Mytilus edulis: one gene and its partner. The protein of the gene in region 2 interacts with the protein of the main gene of each other region in a pairwise test. Links are inferred from orthologs where the notes say so. Each region holds a gene or a part of one and is shown on either strand. Other genes may lie near its edges.

The links.
Region 1: the proteins of nuclear transcription factor Y subunit gamma-like (region 2) and LIM domain transcription factor LMO4.1-like interact in binary tests that used the Homo sapiens proteins (3 or more experiments, as listed by UniProt). The link is inferred for Mytilus edulis from reciprocal best matches to the Homo sapiens genes NFYC and LMO4.

Annotation. Positions count from the first base shown.
Region 1 is NC_092345.1:48,585,140-48,602,187, reverse strand, and holds the start of LIM domain transcription factor LMO4.1-like, read right to left. Parts: upstream 7,224-17,048; 5' UTR 6,847-7,223; coding exon 6,837-6,846; intron 6,467-6,836; exon of another isoform or gene 6,447-6,466; intron 5,559-6,446; coding exon 5,291-5,558; intron 1-5,290. UniProt on the Homo sapiens protein: Transcription cofactor. Plays a role in establishing motor neuron identity, in concert with MNX1, acting, at least in part, to disrupt LDB1-LHX3 complexes thereby negatively modulating interneuron genes in motor neurons.
Region 2 is NC_092344.1:62,046,338-62,062,830, reverse strand, and holds the start of nuclear transcription factor Y subunit gamma-like, read right to left. Parts: upstream 6,114-16,493; 5' UTR 5,911-6,113; coding exon 5,896-5,910; intron 2,863-5,895; exon of another isoform or gene 2,728-2,862; intron 2,260-2,727; coding exon 2,131-2,259; intron 1,407-2,130; coding exon 1,335-1,406; intron 877-1,334; coding exon 763-876; intron 153-762; coding exon 57-152; intron 1-56. Other genes in the region: mediator of RNA polymerase II transcription subunit 8-B-like, read left to right, coding at 6,570-6,587, 7,243-7,361, 7,967-8,111, 9,301-9,441, 10,563-10,647, 12,085-12,246, 12,931-13,013. UniProt on the Homo sapiens protein: Component of the sequence-specific heterotrimeric transcription factor (NF-Y) which specifically recognizes a 5'-CCAAT-3' box motif found in the promoters of its target genes.

The DNA of each region.
Region 1 (17,048 bases), on a different chromosome or scaffold from region 2:
AAATATAGAAATCTGTAAGTTGATTACTGAAATTGTACAAAAGTTTGCAATCAATCATTATTTACTAATTAAATGTCGAATTAGACATAAACTAATATCATGTGAAGAGTAAAATCTCTTTGAACCAGAGGTAAACGTTTTTATCATCTAAACAATACATTCTCGCTATTTACTATGTTGGAATTTTTAATCTTAAAAAAATTGTTCAATTTTACGCGTCGTGCTCCTGTTAATTAGAAAATACTTTTCTGATGAAAGACAACTGTGCGCATGGCAAATAGAGAGGGAACATCTGTTAATTTCGTTCTATTGTTTCCATTGTTTTTATCAGTGGTTTCTAAAACAAGACAGAAATCAGAGAAGGAGAATGTAGTTTTCTTTGCTAATTGTCGTTTTACGTAATTATTTATGTAGTACATCAACGTAAAAATTCTATGACACGTAATTATCTATGAAACACGTCAGGTAACAAAAGTCGACTTGTAATTCCTTTACAGCTTCATTACCAGATTAACGCGATCAAATGGAGGTAAGGAGTACTCGAACTGACAGAACAGAACAGAACTTGGTACCAATATAACACTTATGTCTCATTTACGACATGACGAGAATACAAAACAGGGTACCATTTTGAAATATACCATTTAATTTAACCCTAGCTGTTCGGTGTGAGCTAAGACTTCGTGTTGAAGACCGTACTTTGTCCTATACTGGTTTACTTCTACAAATTATGACTTGGATGGACAGTTATCTTATTGGCACTCATACCACATCTTATATCAATTCAAGGGAAGATCATGATACTATAACGGTACTAAATGCGTTAAAAAATCATTAATACGGTGTACTCGTTTACTAAAAGTACACTGGAGTTGACAATGTACATATATTATAAAAACTTTCGAAACAATAAATAGGCACATTACAGTATAGAAAATACTGTGCTTAGTACTATCACGATGTACATGCTCTTTCAAATTAAATTATATTTGTTTCTCTTTAATATATTTACCACGACATCTGTCCACCGTTAGTTATATTATTTGACATTCAATGTTAGATATATGGTGGATTATGATTTTTTTGTGATAATTTTATTGCCGTCATTGTCAACAACTCGTTCTGGGAACTTGACATTGCTTTTTATGAAAATTGACCCCTACAGCAATCTCAATAAAACTGTCAAGAACGTACATACTGTAACGCCGATATTAAAGTATAACAAATGTTTTAAGTAATTAATATTTGTAATATTCATGAGTGCACTAAAACAATAGATTGGTGTGGATGTTATCACATAGACATCAAATTGATTTCTGTTTTAATATTTTAGCTGAAGAATTATTAGAAAAACTGTTGGGAGATAATAATACATCGCATGGAATCTAAATTTGAAAGGGACGCACTATTTGTCGTTTTGAGAATTGGTTCGTTTCTCAAGTCGTTCGTGATATTAAGTCCATCCAAATTCGTGACTTCCACGACCAATGAAAAATAATAGTCTAGCCATTAGACTAGTGGCTTCGTATATACAACAGAAAAGTAAGCCATATGTTTTAGAGCTTATGGTAAGAATTTACCATGAACCGTCTTTCATTTATATGTATACTTATTCGGTTAATAATTAGATTTCACAACGAAGGCTTTATGTAATGGGAATAAAAAAATGCATTCCAAACTGAACATAGTCGTTTAGTTCGTATAGTTGAACTTCATTTTAGTCGGTGGTTATGAACTCGAAATGAAGCTATATACGTGTTCGAAATGAACCTAATGTTATTCCCTTTGAGAGACCTCGAGATATTTAAAGATGATTAAATTTAATATCTGCAGTCTGTTGTCAATTATAATTCATATTTTAAACGTAATATCATTATTGAATATAAATATAACATCGCGTGATCTGTCGTTTTTCATTCATCTACTTCAGATTGAAGAGTGGTATAAAGGGACGTTATCAATCAATTAATCAAAATTCTCACAATCAATTATTTATCTCTGATTTAACTAGTGATATATACTACTAGGGTAGATTTAATATCCTTCGCCAACAGCGAGACGAATGAAATAAATGCTACCGAAATTAATTAATTTCCCTCTTTTGAAATTATTTGTTCACGATTTGTCAGAGTTTTATTAAAAAGTTATTGGTCCCCGAGATATTAAAATACTTTATTAACAGTAAAGGAAATTACTTCTCATACGTACTCTGGAAATATCTTTCTGTTTTAGTGTCTTACTTCACGTCGATATGAACGGAGGCATTATTCTACGAAACATTTTCGGTTTGAATTACAGTTACTTGAAAGTTTGTCGAGATTGTTTAACGTTTGATAGACTTTTTAGACAGACTTCCCTTTGGGGGAGGTGGGTCATGGTCCCTACAACTTTTTTTAAAAGACTGTTAGACATCAGAGCAATCTCTGACTATGACAACAGCAAGTCCCAAAAACACTATCTGACGTCAAATAAGTCTCAGAATATTTGAAAGTAAACACGATTCAAGTTAAAAGACTACCGGGCATAATATCTAGGATTCATGGGGAATCGGTGGTCCACTGGTCTAACAAGTTTCTACTGTAATCACTAGCCGGTCAACACTGAGGTTGTGAGTTTGAACCCCGCTCGTGCAGATGCACTCGACTCCAATCTTAATTGACTAGGATTGTCAGTTTGGTCGATGGTTTCCTCCGGGCACTCCGGCTCCCCCCTCCAATAAAAACTGGCCGCTACGGAATGGCCAAAAAGCAGTGCTTAAAAGTGGTGTTAAAACACCAAGAATTAAAAAATCGAAGTTAAATCTAGGAGTCACCTTCGCTAGCCTATATGGTAACAACCCATGCCAAACAACGAAGATGTCTAGGATTACATATACCGAGGCATTATATATGTACTCACCAAACAATGACACACCATGATATTGGTACCCCAAAGATAGAGCAAGCCAGAGAAAGAGTTATTAAATTGATTGACGGATCGACACATGGACAACAAGAGCAAATTTTTAATGAAAATTCAACTTAATACTAAGTAACAGAGGAAGATTAAGGGGGTTGGAACTGGGGACACGGGTCCCCCTTTAGTGGGAGAAATTTGTATGATATTAGGACATCATCGAATGACGGGGTCCCCTCTAAGGCAGTTAATGACCCCCGTATACAAATTTCTGGATCCACCACTGAGTAAGTCCTACAAGGTGTACAAACCAGGATGAAAGACAGGAGATTAAATGTTAATTGATCATATCAATGTTTGGACATCAAAATGCATTTTCTTTAGTGATAAAGGATTCAATATATAAACATCCGCTAGTTCAAATGCGTCGTATTAAAAGAGGATTTCGAGTTTTAGTACATACCAAAGAAGGAAATAATAGATTTAACAAGTTAATTCTCTGCACATTTTGATAATACTGGAAAAGAGGTCTTAATATCCGAGACTGCATTCAAAAACGCAATACCGCCACGCAAAAGCAAATTGTAATTAATTTAAATTGCGAGATCAAGAAACTTCAAATAAACTAATTTTTCCTTCATTTTGATTGCTGAAATTAACCTTTGTTGATATTGGAAATTGGTTTTTAGTTTGTTGTTGACGAACAAATCCAATCTCGAAAATTAATTAAAATCGATCCTAAATGGAACACACGTTTTTCTTCTAATTATCTGGCCATTTATGTTTCTCACTACTTTAACTCTAACATGATAATTAAGTAGTCTGTTCAAATGTATTATCACGTAACTAAACCGACTTTTAGAGAGTCCATTATCATACACTTAGACTCTGCGAATACGACATCTGTCGAGAAGAAAAAAATCGTTTGTAATTTTTATTTTGATAGGGGCATCTAAAATCAATTTAACTTCATTAAAATGTACCTTATTCTACTTATCCAAACGGAACAGTAGTTAATTGAAAGGCTTTCTAGTCTGGTTCAAATGTGTCGTTTATCAGAGGCCGCAGACGTTTGTTAATTACTGTGTATTGCATGTAAAGCTAGTTAGTAACAACAGAAGTAAACAAACCATTTGTCTAATTATTCAGTTTGTACTGGGACTAATACATGTGTCTATTGGTCCCAGGTTTACACTGAGTTTATGGAATGCACGTACAAAAAGTTGAATTCTTTCCTACACTGCTCAAGTTCTTTTAGGTTATGTTTTTTCTCAAATTCAATAAAATATTTTGTTTTGTATACAACTTGATATCAACCAGATGACTTATTCACACATATCTTTTTTGTCCATCAACGTTTTCATTTTTTCATTAAGAACACCTGTGCTTTTCTTTTTTTGTTCCCAAATTTACTTTCTTGAATACAAACATTACCTAAAAATCAATATTAACAACTTAAATCTACACAAATCTCTTTTTCCAGATGATTTAATATTATCGCCTTTTTTCTTTTGACACATATATCAGATTTTAACAAATTTGTATAAGCTCGTTTAATATTTATTCTTCATTTCTCAACGTATAAAATGCTATTATTACCTTTATGAAAGGAACCAATTTACTTTTCATTAAGTTAAGCTTGGTAATAATAAAGTTTCGGATTGGTATTACTTGTGTTGTAATTGAACCCAATAATGAGTCTTAATTGACCAATTGTGCTTGCTAAACATGCATTTATCCTAGGTGCCCACAGTAAATAACTGATTTACTAATGAATTAGAAAGCTAATTTATTCTCTCGAGGTTTATAATTAGACTGGACAGACAAATGATTAAGAATAGCTCATATTCCAAACGATCAATTTAGTAAGATTCGTTAAGCTAACCACCTAACGAGGACAGAGAAGTTCGCGAGATATCCATATACCACGATCTTAAATGATCATACAGTAAAAATTGTAGATATACAAGCACAAAAAAATACTAACAAAGGTTTAGTATGCCTGAAAAAAAAATCTGTTATGCATAACACCATCAATTGGGAAAGAAGAAAGATATGGAACTGAATCCCTGTTATACATAATTCAAAAAGTATAGTTCTGAAAAATATCAAATATCTCTATTCTGGCTTTTTAATACAATTATAGGGGCGTATTTTGATAGAGATTACAGAGGACTGGCCACACCACTGGTAAACCACTGTCTATGGTTTTTTTAGTATACTATATAATACTAAGTATCTTCTTAATTATACTACTAAGAAAATTATCAAATACCCAAATGCGTGAGAGAAAAACTTCACGACGTAAACATTTTCCCACGAACCCTGTATTAAACTATTTAACATTTACACGATAATCTTTTTGTAAATACACATGGGTTCAATTTGTACCTACCGTAAGTAATCATTTTTACACAGTATCATCCCAGATCTGGTAAAACACGATCCTAATTGTTCTAAATTTGTCTGACAACAAGAGCACTTTAAACAACCTGTGTGCCAATATCTTTCCATCGCGTGTAGCAGGAATCGGTCCAAGATTCTGCCACCACAACCTGCACATGCCTTGCCATATGATGGGGATTCACCTGTCACGCTGTTGGCCAGGTTACCTATGTCCTGCATCACACCATTATTCATCATTGAAGAACTGTCTTCTGTACCTGTACAGAAAAAAAAAATTGAGTGAGTGTTGCTTGTATAATGTTCAATTACAATTGCTTCAGTCATGTTCGTCGAGCACAAATTGAAGCATCATACTACTAACTTCAGATTTGTGCTTTTAATGAAGAAGCCTTCTTTTCCTTTGCCTTGTTTAGAATGAAAAAACAACGCCTTTTATATCTCCTTCCAGAGAATGAAGCAATAATGGGACTGCCTTTTATAGCTGATTATGGAGTATGGGCTTTGCTCATTGTTGAAGGCTGTGCGAGGCAGTTCTCGTACTAATCACGTGTCCAAATTTTCGTAAAATTGAGCATCGGGCTTGTGGATTTAAAGGTTTATCGTGAAGACTTGTACGGTGATCTGTAGTTGTAAATTTCTGTATTGTTTGGTCTCTTGTGAAGAGTTATCTCATTGGCAATCATACCACATTTTATTTTTATCAAGAGATGGTACAAAGGGGGGCAATTAACCAGGTCAAACAAAGACAGAATCGTCGTCAGAGGCAAACAGTTACACTACGAAGAAAACTGACAATGAGCAACACAAACCCCACCAAACACCTGATTTGATCTGATGTGTTGGTTAGCAGTCCCCGCACCATTGGTGACCCTGTCGTCTGTTTATGGAATCAAGGTTGTATACCACATTTCCAGTATATTCAGAGTGCTCCAGTCACACCTATGTCGAGATATTGAATGATTTACTACTGCTTACCTTGCTATTTGAAATGTTAAATCTACTACCCAATTTTTATACACCAATGTTCTCGAGTGAAACTAATAATACAACTAATGAAGTAAATATACTCTTGTTTAACTTGGGATTGATCAATACACACATACAAAAATAAAAGATTAAATTATGAATAATTTACAGGATTATACCTGATTACAGAATGAGACTTGTTTACATGATTAATCCTGAAGTCCCTGCTCATTGCAAAAACTGAAAAGATACTATAAATAGATACAAGACCCGAAATGTTACTACATTTTCGAAAAACGGTTTGTGATTGTATGTCGTCTGTGTAGACCGTTATGCCTTACATGGAATAGGATATTCGAAATTAATCAAGGTTTCAATTTTATACATTTAAAATGACGTTTCATACGAGACTTGTTCAGTGAAAAGTGCACACATAGATTGTGTTTCTTAAGACATTTAGTCTTGATATGATAAACTATTTTAAGGATGATTTATCGTTCAGTGTGAAAAGATAAACAAAACTAAACGGAAGTAATGTGATAAAAACACGTGTTCAGCTTTATACTAACCATTTGTCATGATGAAGGTATATTCCGTCTGTTTTAGATATCGTCTGCTTCAATTACAAACAACAACAAAGAAATGTTTCAGTTAATAAAAAAATCCTTGAAAATGTATTTTTAAATTGTGTGCAGTCGTACACTATCAAATGTTCGTTGTCATAGTCCAATATGCGTCACTTAAATGGATGTATAGTCGGTCGGATTACATCAACAGCTTGAAATCAACAAACCAGCGTATACAAGAATCAAACATACACAATAATTTGTATTGTTTAACGTTCCTCAACAAACAACTTCATAATTCCTATAGCAGATTATTTTATGGTTGTGTGTTATGAATTACTCCGTATTTACGACTGGATCGTTTCTCATTTGTAGCTAACCAATCGGAACGCATGTTTCAATAGCATGAATGGAGAAATGATAACGTCGGCTCCGCCCAGTTTAATATTGACAGATTTAATTTTGTCAATATTATTAATGTTAATAATGATTGTTGCTTTAAAATAGGTAATTATGACTTGATTAAAAACGCGATGTTTATCTCGACTCTCTTGAAACCCATTTTTTATTAATTAGTTTTGTGTTATACTGGTCGGCTTATAGGAAGATCGTATTCAATTATTTTAATCAAAATAAAACTAGAGGAAATAATTAAAATTATCGGCTATTATAATAGGAACAGTAATAAAACGATTATTAAAACGCATTAGTGTCAAACTTTAGATAATTAAACTTCTCAAATGGATTTTTTTCTTTGACTGTTTAATTGAAATACCCACATACCTTAAAATGTTCTTCTAACCCGACAAATGTTAAACCAAAATGTATCTTTCAATATTAAATTATAGCAGACAATTTCATTTGTGGTCTTTTTTTGAATCTATATATTAAGATTTTTAAGAAATTGTTCTGTAAAACAAAAAAAAAACCCAAAAAACAAACAAAGATTCTTGTAAAATATCGAAGTTGACGACAGATGTTTGAAAAATATATATCTGTTTTATTTTTCAATCTCGACAACAAAATGAATTGTATAAATGTTATTACTTAATATATTGATCAATTATAACAATTCAAAACATAAAATGATTACGTATTTATGGATTGCAAGTAACTTTTGAGGATCCTAGATATCATTTTTTTCTTTACAAATTATAATCGTTTTACCGTTAGTTTTTTTTTATATCAATTATATACTAAAATATAGGACATTTTGAATTGCAGATAATCCGTTTAACGATAATTTTCTTTCAAACATCTGCTAATACCCGATTAACAAATGCAGCGAAAATTGTGTTAATTCTATAAGACAGTGTTGGACTCCTTGTACGCCTACAGACAGTTTGTACAAAGCAACATTTCTGTCCATGCCAAACTATAGTATTTAAAACTAAATCACGATTTGTATATCTTACCGAATTATTTTTTACTCGTTCTGAATATGCATGTATAAAGCTGACGACAGATTCAGTACTGCAGCACCGTTCGTTACGCTGAGAACAGCCAACATAGCTGGACAGGTGTTCAAAACTTGCGCATACAATAGGGATGATACATGTACGTGCCGTCATATCAATATGTTGATATTGCTGCGGATGTGTTCTTTCGATCATCGGAAGTCCAACAAACCCAGTGGTTCGGTACTTGCATGATTTAAATTTGTCTTTGCATTTTAAGTTAATAAATCATTGTATTTTAAGAAAACTAAGGAGCAACTAATCAAGGCAAAGTTTACCATTTTGGTTTTTATACTTTCAAACATTATATTTTTTCGTCTATACGAAAAATTAGTAAAAGCATAATTGTCAATTCCGTGATTTCACGGTCCTGTAATTAGAGATCCAGTTGCAAGAGTTGCGCCCCTTATAAATTTTTCATTGACAAAGTAGTGCCAGCAGAAAGAGCAATGTAACTAAATGTAATACGTAAAGGCGGTCAATTAAAATTTTTCGAAATTTTTAAAGATACATTTAATCAAGTTCTTTTTGTTCAAACGCCTATATATTACTCTCAACATATACAGCCAATTTTGTCCAGTGCACAGAAGGAAAACGGAAACAACTTGTGTTGATACTTGGTAATAACCGAATCAAATTGATAAGCAACACACGTCGCAAAATATAACTGTTTGGTTTTCTGTTGAAATTTTGGATAATGTAAATGAATCACCATTTTTCTATATATACAAATAAGCAGTCTAACGGCTAATTTTCCAATCTGTCTAAAAATTTTAATAAGCTCTGTTAATGTATTTATTAATTGTTGCTTGTTAAATGTCCAGTGTCAAATATTTCATTCAAATTCAACTATTTATAATAAAAAATTAAATCAATAGGTATGTTATAATCAATGTAGGTCGATCGGGATAAAAGGCGGTATATTTTGATAGCCACTGGAAAATAAGGGTGTGTTGGATTGGGTAAGAAATTTCCCTTGCACCAGACCATCTGCGAAACCAGCAGAATTGTTGCAAGAGTTCTTTACAGTGCAATGAGCTTAGCATTTACCTTATACTTAGGCATCAGAGTTATCGCCCAAACCCGAACTAGACCGTTTTTGTACTGCTATTGTACAATCCAAGATGGCAGTATACAGTGAATTCAATCTAATTAAAAACCGAGAGATCGGTTTTTAATTAGATTGCAGTGAATATACCTTAAAACAAATTTCATTTTCGGGCGTGATTATTAATTAGGACCCTTGCTTGAGATGTACTTTCGATTCGCGTTTGAGTTTAAAACTAGATATTGTGTTAAAAGTATACAACACTGGAGCTGTCGGCTTTTGTCTGTTACAAGTATTTCAAATAAGCATGTGGAAAACCAATGACGTGTGCACGTTGCCTTAGAGCAATATGGTGCTAAATCCTAGTGTTTTTTTAGCACATTTGTTATGAGTTTTGACTGCTGTCTCCATCTTTAAGGAAAGCAAATGAGTTTGCATCTCCGTCTCTAAGAGAATTTCTTTTTGAAAATCGGATTTGCAACTGAATCCTATCTTTTTCTCAGAATCCAAAGTATTCCTGTGTTTACAGCTGATTTTCTGAGACTCTATAACATCGAACAGCTGCAGGACTCGTGCAAATGTCTAGGGCATAATTTCAACTGAATCCTAAGCTATCTTTTACTCAGAATCAAAAGTATTCCTAGGATTATACAGATGATTTATCTTTGAGTTTCTATAATATCAGACAGCAGGACTCAATGTCAAATGTATAAATGCGCAATTTCACAAAGTCAGAATTTAACAGAAACCCTTCAGTGGTATTTTATAAGGCTGTGTTTTAATTGTTTGCTTTTTAACACCTTCCCCAGTAAATATCCCCTAATAAGTACAATCAAATTTATTTGTTGATCATTCTGTATAATTACTGTCGACCTGAAAGCAGTGTTTGCCACTGGAAGCCAGATTATCTAATGCATGTCATTCAATCTTTACGAAATTTCAGACAAATTTCAGACTTTTTCAAACACAAATGCATGATACCAGTTGCCGTGCGTTTCATGAATAACTTTCATATCAATAACGGTTCTCACTTAAGACAAAATGTTCATATATAACATTCAATTGTTGTTTGATAAATTATGATTAAAGAAAAAAACATACCATTCATATCCAATATGCGAATTTATAACAAAAACTTTCCAGATTTTTGCATGAATGCGGTTTCTCGGACTGAACGATAAACTAAATGTTTGTTTCTACTCTGTTTCTTCTGGTTTAAATTATTCTGGCTATTCCTGCATTAACAGGTTTCTACTGGCGTTTGACATTAACAAATAACAAAATAAATACAAATTAATCTGACATTTGCTTCTCTTTTGTTCTTGTCTTGATGACGACGATTTTGTCCAGTCGCGTCTTTCTGTTTACTAAAACTGTTTATAACACTTTGATTTTGATAAATATGTAATATTTTCATTATTTCATCTATTTAATTAATACAGAATGCCAATATCGCGAATTTATCAAACATTTGAAGGGACGCATGTCTTGACAAAACAACCATAAAGTTGTTACTTGCTATGATATTTGGTCCCTGGTTAAGAGTTGTCTCAGTGGTAATCATACCAAATCTTCTTATTTTTACATCGCGATGACCGATGTATTGTTGCCACAGAGATTTCTTCTTACGTGACTTTTTTTTTGACTGGTAACCAATCTATACATACACGGACGTTATCGAGTGCAAAATAGTATTACTTATCACTTGTTATAAATTCATTTCTTCAATGAATGCTAATAGAAATATTGTTTTAAGAACATAAATTTATAATATGAAAATATTTTGTCATTAGACATATATTTGAAAAACCTAATAATTACAGAAGAGAGTCAACCATGCACTTGCACTGCACTATTATTAGAATAGGAGAACAGAACGATAAACAAGTAGATGAAAAATATATATGCATGTAACTGTTATATACAAATATTAATATAATATATATCAACAAACCAGAGTATTCTGATTTGTATCACTACAATCATAGTTATTACGGCGAGGTTGACTTCCCTGTCATTTATTCATCATCCACGAACGAACTTGACTAAGAAAAATATATATCTCTGTACACTATTAGTAACCTCACTTTTAGGTATATGTGATTTACTTTCTGAGACAAGTGCTTCTGACCATCCACAAGAACTTGCAGCCATCCGATGTTCAGTACTTCAGTACTTTGATTATATTTAGTATATAATTAAGACACGGTATTTCGCACACTAGTTTTTGGGATACTTACGTCATCGAGCAAACATGTGTCAGGGTTGTTCTTCGTAATTTTAAATAACTTATTTCTAAATAGATTAACAAAGATAACTACGTCAATACCCCTTTATGGTAAATTTCTGATTCCGTTTATTAGAATAGAAAAACAAAGATGATGGAGTATCCATGCATGACACAAAATCAGTTCATGCCCATCACGAAAAAATACACACAAAAAGTAAAGAAATAGCACTTTTATTGCTGTTCTTCATCTCAAAACCACACAGTGAGGCCTTCAACACCAAAATAAAAAAAAACAAAAAAACTTTCACCTCACTTCAAGTCTAAGACGGCCCTTAGAACCGGCTTGAGGGGATTTTTTTATTGAAATTATTTGGATATTAGGTCTTTTAAACAAAATCCCTTTCACATTTTGACATACACTGTATATCTTTTTACAAAAGTAAGGATATGAAGTATGATTTCCAACTATTAAAAAAAACCCAAATTTGACAACATGAGCAACTCTTTAATTAAGAGACTATATAAACTATTTTTACATACAAATACAAGTAAACTACCTTGGGTATAAAAATATACATTTTCGCTTTATTAAATATCATTGCAGATGTTGGCAGTATAAACACACTCGTTAACAGGCAAATAGAAGCAATCATCCCCAGGTTTTGTTGGGATTCGTGTTGCTCAGTCGTTGTGTTTTGTGTTTTATTATTTGTCTTTTTTTTGGGCCATGGCGATGTCAGTTTATTTTGCCCCCACCCCTCGGGTATCTTTCACCTCTCCTAACAAAAGGTTACAGAACCGTCGCGCTTTTCTTGATGATGATAATTATTTTGCTCTTTTTCTCTTAATATCGTCAGTTTTGGACATTTATCCTTCAACTATTCATTTGACGTTTTCATAGAAAAAAGTTGTATATATTCAAGGTTGAACAACACTGTATTTCGAAATAAACTACTAGTACTAAAATAAGTATTGTTTTCAGAGAAATTCATGTAAATAAATAAAGCGGTTAAATTGTGCGGCGAATAGCTCTTTACTGTACGAGGATAGAATAAATCCTGTTTGCTATCATTGTTTCTTTGCTTCGGCGTACCTATATCCAGTGGCGATGCTTCACAGTATACTGCGCCGGAACATACCCCAAACGACGTTTTGTTTCATTAGACAAAGTATGATATTTCTGTCGGTTTTAGTTGAGAGCCTTGAACCACCTTAAACGGTTGATTTATTATAAATTTTGGCTTTTAAAATATCCACAAAAAATAAAACCCATCCCAAAACATGTATACACGAACAAAAACAAAACAACATAAGAATACATATACCACTTGTTAAAAAAGTGAAATTATGACAAAAACTCCCCAGAAGGTCTTTTCAAATACTGTATTCTCCAATAGAATGCTTGAATAAATTTATGCTGCTGCTTTTAAACTTGCGTTTAATTTTAATAAACCAATTGAAATAAAGAAAAAAAAACAGGTATATTGGGAGATTTCTTGACGTCAAACGACCTTCGTCATATATGTTTTTTTTTTCGCCTCTCCTTTGACACCATTTGCGAGTATGGTCTTGAGAAACGATGATATTCCGTCGAAAGTTGACGATAAATAGCTGACCATTGTTAAGAGAGAACCGTATCTCTTGCACGTAAAATACACCCTTGTAGATTTCTTTAAAGAACAGGCTAATGCCGCTACAAGGCAGCACTCGCACCCGCAAAGTGGAAAGGGATACATATAAGTTGTAATAACTTGAATTTCAATCCACACTATAAATAAATATGTTTAAACTAACGTTGTTTATCAAAAATTGAAAAAACTTCAAGAGCCACTTCCAGTGTCTCTGGTCGCTTGTGGAGAGTTGTCTCATTGGCATTCATACCACATTTTCATTTTCATGAACATGTTGGATACAATTTCAATTCGTGCGTTGGGTCAAATGGCCTCAGTGAGTGCGGACTTGGCTATGCATTTTCATACCTCAAATGCCACAAAAGACGGATGGGCAGATGGTTTGAGTGTTTCTTAATCGAAGAGAGTATCGGAAGTATTTATAAATCTCCAAGACGTCACTGCTGATCGGGAAAAATCTTTTATAACTTTAAATATATATCTTTTCATAAAAGATAATTTTCAAAATTCTTTGACTCCGATACGGAAAATGCTCCGCTGTTAAAGAAAACACTTATTTTAATAATTAGAGTTTTATCATTAAAAATGTGATATTTTGTCATATAACGTTGTGTGTGTGTCCTTTTGGTGTGTTACAATCTGTATTTGGAAAAATCCTTTACCTATATATAGCTTCAGGTGCTGTTTCAAAATAGAACATCGGGTTTGATCGGTGTATTCAGAAAAAAATACATCTCAAAGGCACCATATGAACTTTGCATTTATAAAAAGAGATTTGGGATACACATACTTGAGACAGCAACCCAATGACACAACATATGAACACATCTGTATATGCATGTTTATATAATCATATATGGTAGGTATTATGTTAAATAATAACAAACTGTTCTAGAAACTGAAACAACCCTGATGACCAACATCATTAGTACTAAAACAGATGAACCATGTCAAGTTTTTAATGATGCCTTATTTTTCGTCACCCAAATCATTTAAAAGTTGCTCAAATACAAATTGGATTTAAAACTACTAAAACACCACCAGAGATAAAATAATTAACACCGAGCTAGTGCATGATGCTTTCTTGTTGGGATAATGAGCTCCACGAAATCGTTAACACTGAGCCCTTTGGGTCTAATTGGCAATTAGATAGAGGAAAGAGGATTGACACGAAGTAATTAGTCCCTGCGCTGAAGAAATCATTTTGTTTACCTTAAATCTCATTTAATTGGTATAGTTTATAAAATTTTACATCATTAGTAACATTCCACAAGGTATCTGGTTTTAAGCTGTCAAATTAGCCAATTTATTGTAAAAAATCAACATGTAAGTAACATTTTCAAAACTGAAGAAATAATACATATTTTTTCTGTGCCGTTAAAAGTTTGAATTTTTTACCAATTAGTATTCCCTGTCAACTGTCTGTTACTCTGTATTTTTTTATGAAGCAAAAAATTACTGAATGAAAAACGATTAAAGTCTTTAATGAGATCATTATATTAAGGTACTGTATACAAATGTGGATACCGCCTTGCCAGAAAAACTATTAAAACAATATCTGGTAACCAAGCTAGACGTCCGAATGGCGTGTGCTACATACACTTAACATGTGATTGTTAATTATATGTAATGAATTGCATAGCTATTTATAAATTTTGTGTTATAAACTACGCAAATTAACAACATATATTTGATTGAATATCTGAAACAGCTCCCACAAAAACCTATCTCTCTGTTTATCCATGGAATATCCAAACCTTTTAAATATTTATCAACAATAACTGCACGCTTATTTTGACATTGCAATAACATTTTTCAATAAATAAATTAAGGTATATTACAATTTTAAGAGAGATAACTATAAAGACATGCATTTATAAATACGTGTATTGTGTTGAAAGAGTGCAACTGCATGCAGAAACGGTCTCTATGCTTCGTTTTGACACTTGATGCAAGTTTGGTGTCTTTAATTTTTGCAAATATTCTTATTCTGTATGCTTGTCTTTTTGTTTTTCCTGGTAACATGTGACGTGGCTCTGTACTTATACATCCCGTCATTGTGTCATGTTGAAGGTTTGTTTATATTTCTGTTTGTCTTATAGCGATTAAGATATTAACACTACGTTGACTGTTGCAACCCTTTTTTTGACATCATTACATATTGTGTTTGTTTGTTTTGTTCACACATCGTTGTTAGTATAATGGAATTTGACTGTCATACAAGTGAGATGTTTAGCTAGCTATAAAACAGGTTTAATCCACCCATTTTTACATTGCCTGTACCAAGTCAGGAATATGACAGTTGGTGTCAATTCGTTTGATGTTTTTGAGCTTTTGATTTTGCCATTTGATTTGGGACTTTCGACTTTTAACTTTCCTCGTAGTTCAGTATTTTTGTGATTTTACTTTTTTTGAGTAAGCAACAGTTTTAAGTAAATAAGGAATTCGTGACGGATGTCTGATGCACATGGTTGTTGATAAACGCAATTGTCAGCCAGTTTTATTTTTTAATAAGCAATATTGAGGTGATGGATAGGGTTATCCCTGATTCTCTGATTCCCACTTCCCCATCCCGCTTACTCACAGACGAAAATATATAACAAAAAATGTTTTTCCAGAATATCCCTATTTTTATCTCCCCCCCCTGACACCGACCGATTATGTACCCTTACCCCTGTCCACCCTAATATAAATAAATCAAAAAAAAATCTGTCTTTTATTTTATCATGCCTTTCCATTAAAACAGAAACGAATAGCATCGAGCTGAAAGTAGAACATTGTTACCTATTACCTGTTTAAAAATTTATGAATTGTCATGTTCTGAATTGTAAGTGTTCGACATATATAGTATTTTTCAAAAGTCTTGATTTGTGAATTTGTTTCAATTGGTACTATGATAAAATTACATAACAATTGGCTTAAATAGTTCAAGTTCAAGTTCAACAACTCTATTTATAGACGAATTCTAGCATATAGAAAACATATAAAGCTCTATTGATCTTTGAATATACATTGGATTGACATGAATTACCATTTCAGGTAACAATATTTTATTCTGAACACTGATTACAAAAGTTTTAATTTCGACAACCCGGGGATTGTTCATTCCCAATTTTTGCAGAACTACAACGAAAGTTTTGATGACACAACCTCTTACGTTCACCTGTAATTCTATATCCAAACATAAATGAAATGATGATAATAGTAATATTGTTATAAAAACTGGGTTCCACCCATCATTTTTTCTTTAAATGTCCTGTACCAAGTCTGGAATATGACAGTTGTTATCAAATAGTCAGTTTCTATGTCTGTTGGCGTTTGTTTTTGTTTTTGTTGCAGTTCAGTGTTTCTGATGTTCCGTTGTGTGCGTCTTACAGTTGATGTGTTTTAGTTTATAACCTTTATTTGTTTCCTCTTAATCGATTTATGACTTTTAAACAGCAGTTTAAAACTGTTGCCTGAATTTATAGTTTTATATATTGTTACAGCTATATACTGCTTATAATCCTCTGACTTATGGCGACGAATGTTTTGACTTGAGAGCTTCGTTCAGGCTATTACAATCTGTACAAACAAATCTCATAGGATTTTCTTGATTATTTTTTATTATATTATTACTTCAAAAATACCAGGTGACTGGGAAGTAACTTTTAATAGACAAAGTAAAAGAGTGATAAATTGTCAAACGACCATGTCTATTCATATTTTCACCAATACCGGTTTAAGAATACAGTGAGGAATGCTCACATAGAGAGGCAAAACATATCAAAGAGTTATTCAAACTCGTATGGCAAAAACAAACTGACAACGCTATGGCAAAAAAAGTTTAAAACAAAAAGACTAATAAAA
Region 2 (16,493 bases):
TAACTTTTCTGCTTAATCAGTTAAAGATCTTTGAATCACTATATCAAACCACTTACAGTTCGTTTGGTAGGTTTAAGTTCATCTCTAGGTACTATATCTATTAGGAAATCAAACTGGTCAAACTTTGAAATAGCCATTGCAATATCATTTCTCTAAGAAAAACAAACAAATAATTTATATAAATAGTCTGACATAGTCAATATTAAGATAAATCTTTGAATAACTCTACTAAATAATAATAAGGTGTTAATAAAATCTCTAAAGACTGAGTTTCTTGACCTTTAGACATTGTTTTTCAAGGACTGTCCAGAATGTCAGACAGAAGTACTTCTGTACTAGCTTACTGGTACCTTTTTAAAGACTACAGCAATAACTTTCATTGCAGGCAGGTTCTTGTATGTCTCTTTGACTTTGAGGAGAAAAGAATGATCCACTTCTATCAAAACAGAAGGAATAAAAAAAAAACACCTATAAGTACACAATTTTTTTCTCATTTTAAGTTTCATAAAATCAACAGTGTAAATAATTCTTCTTTTCAATTGTACATGAACAGATTTACATTAATTGAAACCAAAAAAACTTCCATGATTGATAATATGATGTATTAACTTTTTACTGTTAACTGTTTCTTACATGTACGTGTTGTAAGACTGCAGTATCATTGATTTAAACCCTAGACCTTTTTTTCATTATGAAATTTACTGTTGGATTGATGTCTGGTCCACTTATACCTTTAATCAGTAACCTTTTTTAAGATCATACCTGCAATGTTCTCCTTTTGTTGTCCTCAGTGTGTATCCAGGCTCTAAGTGATAACTCACTGATAAATATTTCTGCAGCTTTGGCAAATAATACTGGAGCTTCTGCACTGATCATCTATGGAGATTGCAATTTTATTTTTACATAAGACTTGAATGAGCAAAATATTTCACACAAGGTTATCACAATTTATAAGTACCTAACAATTACTTAGATAAAGTTTGAGCAATGTTAAGTGATCCTAACTAATAAACCTCTAATGTCAGACGCCTATAAAATAACACATGCACTTACCGGTAGATCAATTAAAACTAAGACCATACAAAATACTGATGCTCTTAACTTGAAGTCACACCAGCATAACAGTCTAAATCTCACATGAGCATGATATTAATTTTAATATATATATTTTTTCATTGGTATCAATTTTTGAAATTGTTAAAAAAAAATGCTATTTTTAATGTGTCTTATATCATGTATATTTGTTCCTCTGTAATTGTAACTATGCATTACAATTTTTACTGGGTGTCTCAGGTTGAGCTGCCCCTGACATAAATGTTCAAAATAAAACCTACCTTTACATCTTCATCTAGTTTCATGATCTTTTTTATCCTTGCCAGAGGAAGTATCTGTTGTTTGAAATCATCCTACAAAAATAAATCAAACATTTTTACTGTACAATGGAAGACAACTCTGCAAAATATTGCAATACTTTATGTTTTAAAGAACTGAAAGACATTGTAATCTTTGTAATGCTAATGAACTTGGTGATGAGTTTCATTACTTATTCAAATGTACCTTTTTCAACAATGTAAGAGCTAAATTTTTTACCTTTAAATATATGTAATAACCCAAATGTTTTAAAATTTATAGAATTGATGAATACTTCAGATTTATTTACACTTACTTGAATAGCAAAATTTTGCAAAGTGTTATTAAAACCTTTTAATACATGTGCTTCATCTGAATCATGTTACTATAATTTGTACTTCCTGTCAAATATGAGGGGGGATAGGATTTTGGTCTCTTGTGGAGAGTTGTCCCATTGGCAATCATACCACATCTTCTTTTTTATTGAGTGACATTGGTAAATGGCTATTCGAATTGACTGACAATTCATAACATATGTAAAATTGCTAATGGAAGATGTTTATGATGATACATGAAAAAAAGCATTCACCTGTAATTTACCTGGAAAAAATCGGCGCAATTGAAAAGAAAAATCGGCGCAAATGAAAGAAAAAATCGGCGCAAATGAAAGAAAAAAATCAGCGCAAATGAAATGCAGATCAGCGCAAATGCAAAATGTCGCTTAATTGTTAACATTAAAACTAATTAATAAGTTTGTTTGTTAAATACAAATCTACCTACATTTTTTAGGTCTCTGATATCTTTCATTGCATCAGGCCAGAATGTGTTCAGCATGGCTGCAGCTTCACCACTTATTGATGCAGCATTAGGTGACTGTCCTGATGTTGGGTACTCCATCTTGGAAACTCTCTGAAGAAATAATTTTTCAAATGTGAAATAATCGTTCTATTTTAAATTTCCCTCTAATTACTATTATATAATAATATCATATCACTATAGATTTTATTTGACATTTCCTTGTTTGTGTTCTAAAAACATGTTATACTAATAATTAACAAATCTAAAAGTGCAATGATAAATGGTTCAATGTCAAGGGAAAAAATCCGATTAAATATAAGATCAAAGGTCATGCAATTAAAAATAGAGTAACCCCCAAAAATGTAGACCAGTTGCCGTGTCAGCCTGTAGAAAAAATTAAATATAAAGAATATCATCAAAATCATTGATTTTTACTTGATGCATTGTATATATGCATTAAACATGGTGAAGCAGTTGTTTATAATAGTTTTCAAAATAAACTACATATTGATTTTAACTTTCCATATACAGCATGTACAAGCATGAGTAAAATTAATTTATGTTCCAGGCACACTGTACCAGAAAAATCTTTTTCCTTATTGCATGTAGATAATCCCTGGGTCAAATGTACCTTTTGACAGTATTTCTATATACATGTATAAATGTTGTACTAATTTGATGTATGAACGTGATAAACAACTGCGTTAATAGGAAGTGTTTAACATTACAAGAACATATATCCTGTTTCAAGTTCAGGAAACTAATCTATAATGGAAAAGTCCTGATTAACACAAAATACTTTTCCAGAAATCGAATTTAACAAAGAGCAGTACCTTAAATGGAATAGCAATTGTTCAAAATTGGTAAAAATAGGAGATATGAGGGTATGACTTAGAATGGGGACTAGCTATAGAGGATAATGGGGAAAAACCTCTGCTCTGTGGTACATGTAGGATATTCTGGCATTACGTTAATATACGACAGCCACAAACTCCAGTAAGAGCACTAAAAGAAGTAAAATGAGCTTACAGTTTGGGACATTTTTGGAGAAATTTGAATGCCTTTCTATTATTTTGTTGTATCTATATTAACATAAATTAGCTAATCTTTTAAGATACAATTTGTTCATGCCATGCTCAATGCTTATTTTAACATGTGTGTACATGTATATATGTAGGTATTATTTTTGTCAATATCTTTATACTGAGTGTTAATTAGATTAAATTATAGACAAAAAGAATGTGTCCATAGTACACGGATGCCCCACTCGCACTATCATTTTCTATGTTCAGTGGACCGTGAAAATTGGGGTTAAACCTTTAATTTGGAATTAAAATTAGAAAAATCATATCATAGGGAACATGTGTACTAAGTTTCAAGTTGATGTAACTTTAACTTCATCAAAAACTACCTTGACCAAAAACTTTAACCTGAACTTCGCACTATCATTTTCTATGTTCTGACAGTGGACCACGAAATTGGGGTTAAAACTATAATTTAGCATTAAAATTAGAAAGATCATATCATAGGGAACATGTGTGCTAAGTTTCAAGTTGATTGGACTTCAACTTCTTCAAAAACTACCTTGACCAAAACTTTAACCTGAAGCGAACGGACGCACAGACGGAAGGACGACCGACGGAGGCACAGACCAGAAAACCTAATGCCCCTTCTATCGTAGGTGGGGCATAAAAATAATACCTACTCAAGTTAAAATCAGCATATAGAGCATGTTCTGATAGGCAAATTTATAACTTTTGTACTTCAATTTGGACCTATTATTTATACATGTATATTCGAAAGGTAGCCATTTTGATGTGATTTACCAAAACATTATAGAAAACCAACAATTCAACATGTTTATATTTAACAATAAAAAAATAAACAGCTGCGCCCCATGAGGCATGATACACCAGTGGCATTTTCAAAGAATAAAGTTCAATAACTTCTCAATACCATACATGTATCAGAAATGTATAATAACTAAAGGAAGGTTATCTTAATAGATATACATGTAAATCAGTCACTAAAGTTTATAGAAAACTGCCCAAAGCACTTTACATATTGTAGGTATAGTGTTCGAAAACTTGAAAATCCCCCCTTTTTGTGAATTAAATCCCATAACTCAGAAATGTAAAATAAAAAATTTATAAAAATTGAAAAGGAGCTTATATATATTTATAAATGTCATTGTAAATAAACATTGCCAAAGTTTCGTGCAAATTAGTGAAAGTGTTTTTGAGTTATTGTTGAAAAAATCCCCCCTTTTATAATGAATAAAACTCAGAAATGTAAAATCTAAAATTTATAAATAAATCAAACAGATACATGTATAAACAATTCACCTGACAAAGTTTCATGCAAATTGGTTTAAACATTTTTAAGTTAATGTCCAACATGACAATTGATGGACGGACAATTAACGGTTTTTAATAATACATCCCATTAACGGGCATATGATATCATATATGGATAAAATTACTTTTAAAATGATTTTATTTAATTTCCTAGCAAGCAAAAGCAACACAAATGTTCATTTAGATCTAGAGCATGGTTCAAAGTACAACTGACATTGCAATTTCAATTATGATGTCAATCACAGTTTTATTGCAATTACAATTAAACATCATATTAGAATTCACAATTTGCACAGATTCATGTGATTGTCAACATGATTTTTCTCTTAGCTCTTACTTGATCCAGTACCAGAAGGTCCTACCACAGATTTGGTTACAGGTCAAAAATTTACATACTCAAGAGTAAATAAACAGTCTTGTCAGTCTACCAGTTTGAGACCATCATCTGTAATTTTTCACACACTGCATATTCACTTTTATTCAAGAACTACTGGATAGTAGTCTATTTGCCCAAAAAGAAGTAGTTTCAAATATATGTTGAGGCAAACATTTTCAACACACACTTTATCACTTTTTTTTATACTTTTATTCAAAGGTATTTATAAAATTTTATTGATGTTACTTACTTCAAATTTTGAGGTATGCCTATGTCAAACATGAAAGCAATATGACATGAAAATTGTAAATTATGATTTTATAAAATATTTGTTACCATTTAAAACTTAAATGCAAAGATTTAAATTTAAAGTGTTAATTTTAATTTTAGAGGAAAAACAGGGAGACAACTCAAATTTCTTTTTCATATTCCCTAAATAAGTTTTTTTTTAAAATAAATATAATATATATAAATATATTATTATGCAATTATTATGAGATGAGAAAGACATTCCAAGATGAGGAGTCAGTAGACACCATTAGCCTATTTAAGGACTACAGGATAAAGCTACATGTAAAGGTATAAAGGGTAAAATGGTAAATTATATCTTTTTTTAAATTTCCAAACATAAAATGAATGAAGAATTATTTTTGCATTTTAAACAATCTTGTATAAAATACATTTTAATACCCAAGTCTAGATGCAGATTTGGTGGTGGTGGTGGGAGGGGTGGACTCCCCCCTTTTTGTGGTAAATTGGTTGATTCTACAGGGAAACACTGTATGAGGCATGACTTGAGCGGCCATCTGAGGCAGTCAGTGGCCCCAACCCCTTATGAAAAATTCTGGATCCACCGCTGAAGTGTCTAGCCTAAATTGAGTGACATTTATTCATATCAAAGCATTTTTTTTCTATATTTCACAAATATATGCATGAAAAAGAGGGAAAGGGGGTAGTTCTTGTACAAAAATGAGAATAATATTAAATATAAATACATGTATATCAATGTCTTACTTTGATCAGTCTCATTCTGCATAGTTCCAATATTAACTGAGACAACACCAAAGGTTGATAAAATTATGGGAAATTCATTTTCAGAATTTGTTTTTGTAGTAACATTCTAAAAATAGAAAGCAATTCAAGGAAGCCATTTTTGTTCTGTCCGTGAGGGGATATTTGTCAACACATGACTGTCGATCACAGAGAGTTTATTTGGAGAAACATTTTATTTCATTTATAAATTGCTACTTCTTTGATACAGGGAAATGTTTGTAAATTATCATTGGAGATTGGGTCGAAGAGTGGACCAATAAATTGGTCGGGAATCGACACCCAATCAACACTGACCTACCCACCAATGAGAACAAAGAATTATTCAATGAAACAAGGTGCGCGGATTGGTTCAAAGTAGCTTCATGTAGAACCTGGAAGTGTATGGGTTTCAAAACAGTTACCTTTCAGCCTTGAATATTCTTGATATAAATTTTATATAATAAAATTCTGTCTTTTCAGATCCTTCAAAATAATGGCTGATATGCGATTTGGTAAATTCTTCCGATTGCGCATGCGTGAATTCGGTATTGTATTTCCGGTTTAAAAATCAAGAAACTATTATAAAGAAAAACAAAAATGCAGGTTAAAAACTAATTTTATAGAGTGTGTTTTGAGGAAACAGTTATAAAGAAGGCATGCACCTGTTGGAAGAGGTGCATAGTTATCCCTGAAGGATTTTTGGAGTTAAAAAAAAAGTTTTAAAAGAAAACTTCACGTTTATTATGTTTATGCTGTTCATTTTATCATGTATACAAAGTGCATGTGTTTGACAGCAAAAATACTATTAGTATCTTTCTCATGGTCTTCTTTCAGTTTCCATCATATTATATTTATATATTATAATTTTATAATGCTTTCATTGGTAAATTAACTAGAAAGTTGACTTTGTCAATCTTGTCTGCCTTGTTTGTTGTGGTCTTCATTTTTTTCACCTTGGCTGTTAAACTTTTACACTTATTGAAAATAATTTTGACAGTTTAATAATTCTATGTCACCCTCTTGATTGTGATAGTCTAAAAATAGAAAATTTATGTACATTGTATCCTTAAAAGGATGCTTTCGAATTCGGCATCTACACTGATGTGCCAAATGGATACATTCAGCATGCCCACAAGGATGTAAAAAGGATACATGAAAGGGTTAAATTATCATAAGAGTACATACATTTTGTGAAATTAAAATTAGTGTTAGGCTAAGACCAGAAAATGGCTGAATATGTTTATTCTGAAAAGACCGGTTTTACTAGCTTTACAAATTTACTACCATGACTACAACTACAATGTACATATTTCATTTGATTTTTTCCAGAAAGAAGAAAAGCAATTAGAAGCCACTGTAGATGCCTTGATCCACAGAGTTCAGGATATCAAAAATTCCATTGCATCGTTTCTCTTTAAGCTTGAAAATGAATATCAAACATTGAATTGGTAGGACATTATGTTTTAATGGTTAATATGCTCCTTTAGACAACAGACAAAGTGTGGACACATGATCATACTGATATAAACACTGAGTTATGCATAATACAATTCTTAACACAACTCAGAAATTGCAAAGGAGCTGGATAGTTCAATGAACAGATGAAAGAACAGACAATAAGAATCAAGCACAAAAAGATCACAAGACCAGGGAATCTCAAAATAAGATGCATTTTCTTTGACAAATATTTTATTAAAATTTCAAAACTGTTTTGTACAATTACCATGTTTACCATCTGGCAAATGTAAACATGATGTGGCAGAATAAAATTAAAAAAACATGTACAAAAAATAACAAACTTTGATATATTAGACATTGTAAATGAGCTAAAATTATTATAGAAGTTACTTGTAAATAATGAATTGTACTTGACTATAGCCATGATAGCTATATGTCATTTTTTTTTTATTGAAGTATAAATTCTTACCTTAAAAGCTACTATCTGCTTAAACCTTTTATCATGATAATGATTAAAAATTCGATATGTTCTTTCTTTTAATCAGAGAGCATGTTCATGTAGTTAATGTCTTAAAATATCCCTTCTTGTTTTCAGGCCATCTGTGCTGGATAATTTTGCTCTGATATCTGGTCAGCTAAATAGTCTTGGTAAAGTCCTGAAAAATGACAGATCACCACATCTTCGAAATCATCTCTTGTTACCGCTGGCACTGAGACCTGATAGAGATGCTGAACTTGAGGTACTGAAAAGATAAATCATACATTATTTTATGATCTAATAGATATAAGAAGATGTGGTATGTGTGCCAATGAGACAACTCTCTATCCAAGTCACAATTTATAAAAGTAAACCATTATAGGTAAAATTAAGGTGTTCAACACGGAGCCTTGGCTTGCACTGAACAACAAGCTATCAAGGCCTCCAAAAATTTCTAGTGTGAAACCTTTTAAATGGGAAAACCAACGGTCTAATCTATATAAAAAACATGAAACGAGAAACACTTATGTTATGAACCAAATCAACAAACGACAACTACTTAACATCAGATTCATGAGGTGCAAACAATTTCAGTGGGTTTAATTGTTTACATGGTACCAAACCTTCACCCTTATCTGAAACAATAGTGTAACATCACAACACAGAAAGACACAATATAAGATATCAATTGAAATTTGAAATGGCTGAACACGACATATTAACATGTGTGAACATACAATGAAAGAATAAATTTGATCTATGATTTAAGTATGACTTATTGTATATTCAATAAACATGAATAAACTTCAGGAAGGGACTTTTCACTTAAGTTAAACTTTTCAATTATGGTAACTTTAATGTTTATAATTATATAAGGTGTTTATAAAAATCAAAATACTCGCAAATCTTCAAATTCAGAGAAGAAGTAAAAACCAGCTTGCACCTGTGTGTTTATGTCATCTGTGACAGATTTTTGCTTATCTCATTTGTTTCAATGAAAAATCATGAAAATAGGCGATAAAAATATTTAAGAGGTTTGCTTCTCTGCTTCTAAATAACAAGCTTTATAAAAGACTGTTATAAATAATAGATGTAATATAGCAGAAAAAAATGAAGGGTCCATGTCCTTGTTTCTAAGATATGCTGTTGAAAATTTGGAGGGAAATGATTCTCTCAAGAATTTTCATTCATTTAACATGTTTAACATAGGCAACTTTTTTCTTTCAAAAAGTATGGAAAGATAATAAGGATTTTAATACAAAATTTTCGAATATCTTACAAAACTTAAAAAACAAGAGGAGCCAACATCCTTAAGATAAGGAGAAAAAAGTATTAAAAATGATTGCAGACATTTATTTGTTTAAGTACATGTATATGTATCTAAATATTATATGCACCTCTAAATATAACTAGTCATGCATAAATTTTTATTCATTGTATTTGCTCTGTAGAAACTAACAGAAGGAAGAGTAATTTGTTTTAACCATGAAGTTGTACCAGACTACCTCCGTACCAAACCAGAACCAGAGGTCGAGGACAAAGTTAATATTGTTGTTCAGAAATCAGCTGCAATGCAAGCAGACATGGCACAAGTAAGAACATTTAGTCTTTTCTTAGAAAAGTACACAATCTGTATTAGGAATATATATTGCATCAAAATTGATGTGGGAGGGTATAAGTAGGAAGGGAAGTTAAATTATTGAATGTTGGTCATGGGTCTGTTTTTAGTATGCCTCTATTACCATTTTGCAAAGTTATCTAAAAATGGTTTTTGGTTGTAGTAATATATATTGAAAGTCTTTCCTAACCTCCCACATATGTTTTGATGACATAACCCTTACAATATGTATTAATGATTACAAAAAAAAACATAAGGTGACACATTAATATTTATTCTGTTAGAATTAATGTGTGAGAATAAGAATGAGTTTTAAAATTGCCCACTACTACACATGTAACATCCTGTTTTTTTGAAAAATTTAATTTGGAGACAACTACACATAACCAACAAACAATCATTCTACCCTCAAACATTTATCATCATGGAACAGTCTGTAAGCTTCATAAGAATTGAAGATCAACGCAATTAAAAAAATCAGATGTGCTGTCGATGCAAAAAAAATCTTTAAAAACAGCTTTAAAATAAAATTCTGAGGTTTAAACTAAGTATGGCAATAAGATATATGAGATATCAATAATTCTTTAATATCACATAAATATTTGAAAGGGAATTTATTCTTCTTACAAGATGGAAGCAGTTACATGAAGAGTAAGCCATATCTATTTTTTTATATAAATCCTCACCACAATTTCATAATATTTCTCATGAGCCCTCAATATTTCCATATCCCAAATTCTGTACAAAAATAATATATAATTTTAAAACAAATTCTGAGTGCAGATTTTCAGGAAATAATAATTTAAATTGAAAAATACATATTTTTGCTACTTTTTACACACATTTATCCAAAGGCAACACCTATTTTGCAAATTTTTGATTAACCTTCTTGAAGTATAAATGCTACATATATCATGTATATATAATTCTTCACTCTTTCAATTTTTGAATACAATTTTTGGGGTCAAGTTTTGCATGTCAGGTCACCCATCAAATCAGCACATTGCATTGATAGGCAGGTAATGGTCTAACTACATAGTTGTACAGATTTACAATACAAAATTGTACATATATATATATTCTATTTTTTTTTAGAAACAACTCAATTCAATGAACAAGATCACAAGTAATTTATTGGATATAATAAACTCTAACAAAGAAGAACTAGAAAGTGAAGCAAGTAAGTTATTTTCCTTGCATTAGAAATCAAGAACACAAGTACACACCCGTGATATCGCGGGTCCGTGACTGAATTAAAGTATATATATTTACGCCTTGTTTTAGTAATTGATATTGTCATCTGATAAAGTTATGTCGATTATAAGATACACAGTTTTCTCTGCTTTCAAATCTTTGTTTGAACCCGTCGACCCGGAACTTATCAATTATTGGTAATATTAATTATTTGGAAAACAGAAGGTCCTGGCTATCCAGGAATGGAGTATTTTTTAATCAACAACATTGTCCTATATTAGTTATCTTAGAAAGTATTGCTGATTGCTGAATAAAACTACAATAGGGAACAATTTGACAATGATTGAATTTAGTAGTGTCAGCCCTTTGATTATGACCCGTGTATATATCAAAATCCTAAATACACCGTTTGGTGGTGCGCCTGTCAAATGCGGAACGTACAGATAAGTTTATAGGTAACAGGTGAATAAACTATTAGTATCGGTATCGGATTTGACCCGGAACTTGTTGATTATTGGCAATATTAATTATGTGGAAAACAAAAGGGTCTGGAGTGGTGTAATTTTTAATCTACACCATTGTCCTATATTAGCTATATATAGAGTTGAATTCTTTGATTTGTCGTTTTTACCCGATGACGGCTGACAAATTGGACCTCGTAATTTTAGTATTATAGATTTAAAAAATTCACCTTTGTATTATTTGCATTCACTTAATATTTTGTCTCCTGTTGTCTTTTTTAAACTTGTGTTATTAAGTGTGAAAGGACCAACAACAAAACATTATCCTACATTGTGAAATAAATCATTACAGTGTCTCTCAGACACAATCATTTCAAGTAGGATTTGAACATTGAGTTTTAATAAACCTATTGTAGCAGACCTATATTCATATTTTATCCTTAGCATTAAGTAAAAAGTCATGTCTTGAATAATTTGCGTAGCTCAGTGGAAACTTAAAATCTTGATTTTGTTATTCTTGGCTACTTAATTTTTTCAATTGGAAGATTGAATTTAAAAACTTACCTTTTTATTCTTTTAACTGGTAGGTTCATTTTGAATTGTATCGGCGAATTTTGAGACACAAACTGAATTTTAGATTTACTTGAACCAATAATTTCAAAACTGATGTGTATTCATCAATTAGATTATTTGAACACTTGCAATAAAATTTGTTAACATAAACTTAATAAACATTGTAAGATTTATGTGCCCCTTCCGGAACTACATTTTACCCTTGTTCATCTGTACATCTATCATGTCTATACGTTCTCTATCTTTAGTTAGCCTGAAACAAATGACATGTAACTTATACACATTGCTCATTACCACAAAACTCAGATCATGTTTGAATTTTAGTGGCATCACTTTTATTGTTCTAGAGTTATTCCCCTTTATAAATGGAAAAAAATGATTTTATTTAGATCAGAAAGCCCAGATGGCACAGACCTATTCATCAACAGATACCAGTTCAATGGTGGCAGCCATGATGTTTGGTAAGGGACTGAAATCAATACAACGACAAGATTCTCGACCTGGTATGACAGCACAACAACAACAGCAGCAGCAACAACAGAAACAACAGGGTAAGATTATATACATCACTTAATGATTTGATATGTCAACCTTAAAAACACTTTTTGAATATGAATAAAACTCACTAGATGCAGATCCATGGTCAAGATTGAATATGGTAGTGTCTCTTACTGTTCTTGAGTTATGTCCCCTTGTAAAAGGAATATTGTTGAATTTGTTGTACATTTACAAGCTAGGGCATCTGTGTCTCATAAACACATAATTTTAGTTTGAAAAACAAAATCATGAATTTTTTTAAGACCATCATGTAGGTTTCAATATCATGATAACTGTAGTGACTACTCCCTTAGTCCCATTTTCCCAAAATTTCTGTGTGTTAAAATCATCAGGACCAAAAACAACCAGCTAGGTCAACATTATATGAACAGAAATCAATTTATATATCAAACTACATGCAATCAAAGCAAAGTCAGGTGACAATTTCACAGTCAAATATATTCATAAGAGCACTGTGTTATGGAATTAAACTCATCATAGATAACTGGCTTAAAAATATGTATGCCAGACTCATGTTTTGCAGAGAAAAGACTCATGAGCGAAATTTGAATAAAAAAAGTTGAAAATCATTGTTCCAATAGCCTTACAGAAGACATATATATTTCTCTTTTGATTATTTATAATTTTTTATTTGTAAATAATAGTGTGAAAAATTAGAATATTTTTCTTTTTTTCAGCACAAAACATTGGAAAAGCACCAAGTACCATAAAAACAAACATCAAATCTGCAGCCAGTACACATCCATATCAAAGACCTTGATTAATTAACTTAATACCAACGTTTTGGATAAGACTATATTGGTAGACTGAATACCAATTTTAATATGCATGAGTGATGTTTCTCATCAGTTGTACTATTTTTAAAGAGGCAAGTGTTGAAAAAGATGTGAGAGGAGGTTGAAAACAGAAGTGATACCAAGACTCTAATGATTATTCTCTATAAGTACACAAGTGCAATAATGATAAAGTGCTATGAAAAGAATTATTGATTATGATTTCATATTTGTCTACTTTATACTATAAAAATTAAACATTTACGTTTGTTGAAAAACTAATTTATTTCACAGTTAATTCCCTTTTATTGTATGATAGAAAGTAATGTGGGCAAAATTATGTTTCAACCAAAATTTAAATGTATATTTTATTTATCAGTAGCTGGGATTGCAGTTGCTCTACTTGATATTATCCTTGCCAGTTAATTTATGTCTGGTTTCATAAAGCTGTCTTGACTCAAAAATGTTGATATCAGTGAATTAATGATGTCTTGTTCTAAAGGATTGATTGTAACAATGTTTTGTTTATGACAGTGGAAACTTTATTTTGGCTTAAAAACTGAAATAAAACAGAATCCAGCATCTGAAGATCTCAGTTTGAGCTGGAATCAAAATGAGTGATTTACAAACATGATCTGTCTTTTTCTTTTCACATCTGATTCACACCACCCTAAACTCAACATTGTTCATATTTTACTGATTTTAAAGTATTTGGAGATCAGCAAGACAATATCTACAAATAAGTTTGCATGGTCGAAATCGTCAGAAAACTTCTTATTGTAGTTGTTGCTTTTTATGCCCCACCTAAGATAGTAGAGGGGCATTATGTTTTCTAGTCTGTGCCTCCGTCCGTCCGTCTGTGCCTCCGTTAGTCCGTCCGGTTAAAGTTTTTGGTCGAGGTAGTTTTTGATGAAGCTGAAGTCCAATCAACTTGAAACTTAATACACATGTTCAATATGAAATGATCTTTCTAATTTTAATTCCAAATTAAAGTTTTGACCCCAATTTCACGGTCCACTGAACATAGAAAATAACAGTGGGAGTGGGGCATCCGTGTACTATGGACACATTCTTGTTGAGTTTGTGTTGCTCAGTCTATAGTTTTTGGAGTGTTTTGTGAGCTTTTTCTTTTATCATCGTCTTCTTTGATGCCGTTCTGTGTCTTCGACATAAGTTTTTGATTGTTCCTTTTGAATTGGTGTTTTTTAAGCGATTTTGATGCTAGTATTTAAAAAAAATTAAATGTGTTTCCCTACATTTCAAAAGTATAAAAGAAGGCGAAAGATGCTAGAAGGACAGTCAAACTTATATATAAAAATAAACTAACAACTCCATGGTTGAAAAAAAGACAAAAAGACATAGTACACAAGACACAACATAAAAAACTAAAGACTTAGAAAAACGAATTCCACCAAACACTTGGAGTGATTGGAGGTGCTCCGGAAGGGCAAGCATATCCTGCTCCACATGTGGCACCCGTCGCGTTGCTTAATTTATTACAAACCCAATAAATAGTATAATTCTGTAGGTCACATTAGATGAAGGCAAATCCAGATTTAGATTCCCTCGGTTTTTGTTTGTAACCAGGCTTTGTTTGTCTATCAATCGAAATATGACTTTCGAACAGAGGTATACTACTGTTGCCTTTATTTACTTATTCCCCATTTCCATTCTCAAGTTTACATTAGCTATGTTTATGGTTTCGTACTTTATTTGACTCTTTTTTTAACTTGAGTTGTGTAGCCATATATCTATGAAGAGGTTACTTCCATATGTAGCAAGTTTTTTCCCCAATGTTTTGAAGTGTCGGATTAATTTAATGGAAGACAAATGCTGACAGACGCATGTTTATCAATTCAATACATTTCATATTCAACCGTTCAAGAAAAAGTATTAAATTATATGCATTTTTTCCGTATAATTAAAAAGGTTAAAATATAACCTTGCGTTTGAGTTTTGCTGAACTTTCATAACGTCAATAGCTAAATAAAAAAAATATTATCCTTTCGATACGAAAATGACAGAAGATTAAACAATGTTTTATCCATTAGATTTGTTTACAAATCCGGTCCAAACGAAGAAGAAACAGAACATGAATTCAACTTGGATTTATTTATTTGCAATTGACTATATCGCGTTCACTTCAAGGTAATTCGTGCTATGCTAACAGATGCTCAAAGTTAATTATGTTGAATATAGCTTCTCATATATCGCATTTTGGTTAGATATAACAACAAAATATACATGAAGGAAAGACAGATGAAATGAATAAAAATCAAGTATCTTATTTTTTCAAACAAACACAAATATGTATTTATGTATAATGACTTTCATTTTTTTTTGTTAACTGTACAACCTTACAACCATAACTAGAAACTTATTTTAAATATTTCAATTAATTCATAATAACCGGCAACGAGTTTGGCGTTATTTACCCAATTATGGTGCAAATGCTCTGGTCTTCTAGTTAAATGCACACATGTTACAATAACTTGTTCACTTGTATTCCTTCATTTCGTTTAAAAAGAACATGACTTTGTTGTTGTCTTTCCAATCCCGTATTGGATTTACCTGAGATCCTCCCGAGTTTTTGTGTACTATTTTTGTCTATTTGTCTTTTAATTTTGTAGCCATGCCGTTGTCAGTTTATTTTCGATGTATGAGTTCGACTGTCCATCTGGTATCTTTCACCCCTCATTTACCTATCATAAAAACATTCGAAATATGATATAGACTTTTTTGTTCTTTGTTTGCATGTATACATATGAACTCCATTCTTAGACTAACAGTAGTATTCAGTTTCTTTACTTTACAAGTACGGTTCATCTGCCAATAACAAGATGAGGTAAAGTCATGGTCTCGGATGTTCCAATCAAAACGTGTAAATTTACCAGTACTCATAAATTGTCAATGAGAATTGTTTCCTGAAATAAACCAGTAGGTGATCAAATCGTAGCTTTTTAATATGTAACTTTGTCTCAGAACATTGTGAAATTCGAAGTCTACAGATTTAATACTAGTACACTTTTTCTTTAAATGGAAATGCATATGCTAAGTCAGGAATATGACCATTGTTTTCTGTTCGGTTAACTGTGCGATGCAGACAAAGCTGAAATGACTCCGTTTTGAATTTTCCTTTGCAGTTTGAGCTAGTCATGTTAGTTTTCTTAGTGTTTTTTCATCTCTCACTTTTTAAAAATCGCTTTTGTTTAACTAAAGAAAAATCATCGATGTCGAAGCAGCCAGAAATTAATCGATACTTCTGGAAAACTACAGCAAAAACGAAGAATACCATGTAAACAAGTTCAAGGTCAAATGAGTACTATATAAACAAATCTAACAAGCGTGTGCTAGTTTTAAATTTTACTTCCTTGTTTATTATCAAGGTAAGTTTAAATAATTTTGAATAAATTTGTGATGTTCATTAGAATTAAAAAAAAATGCAATTTTTACTTTAAAATAACGTT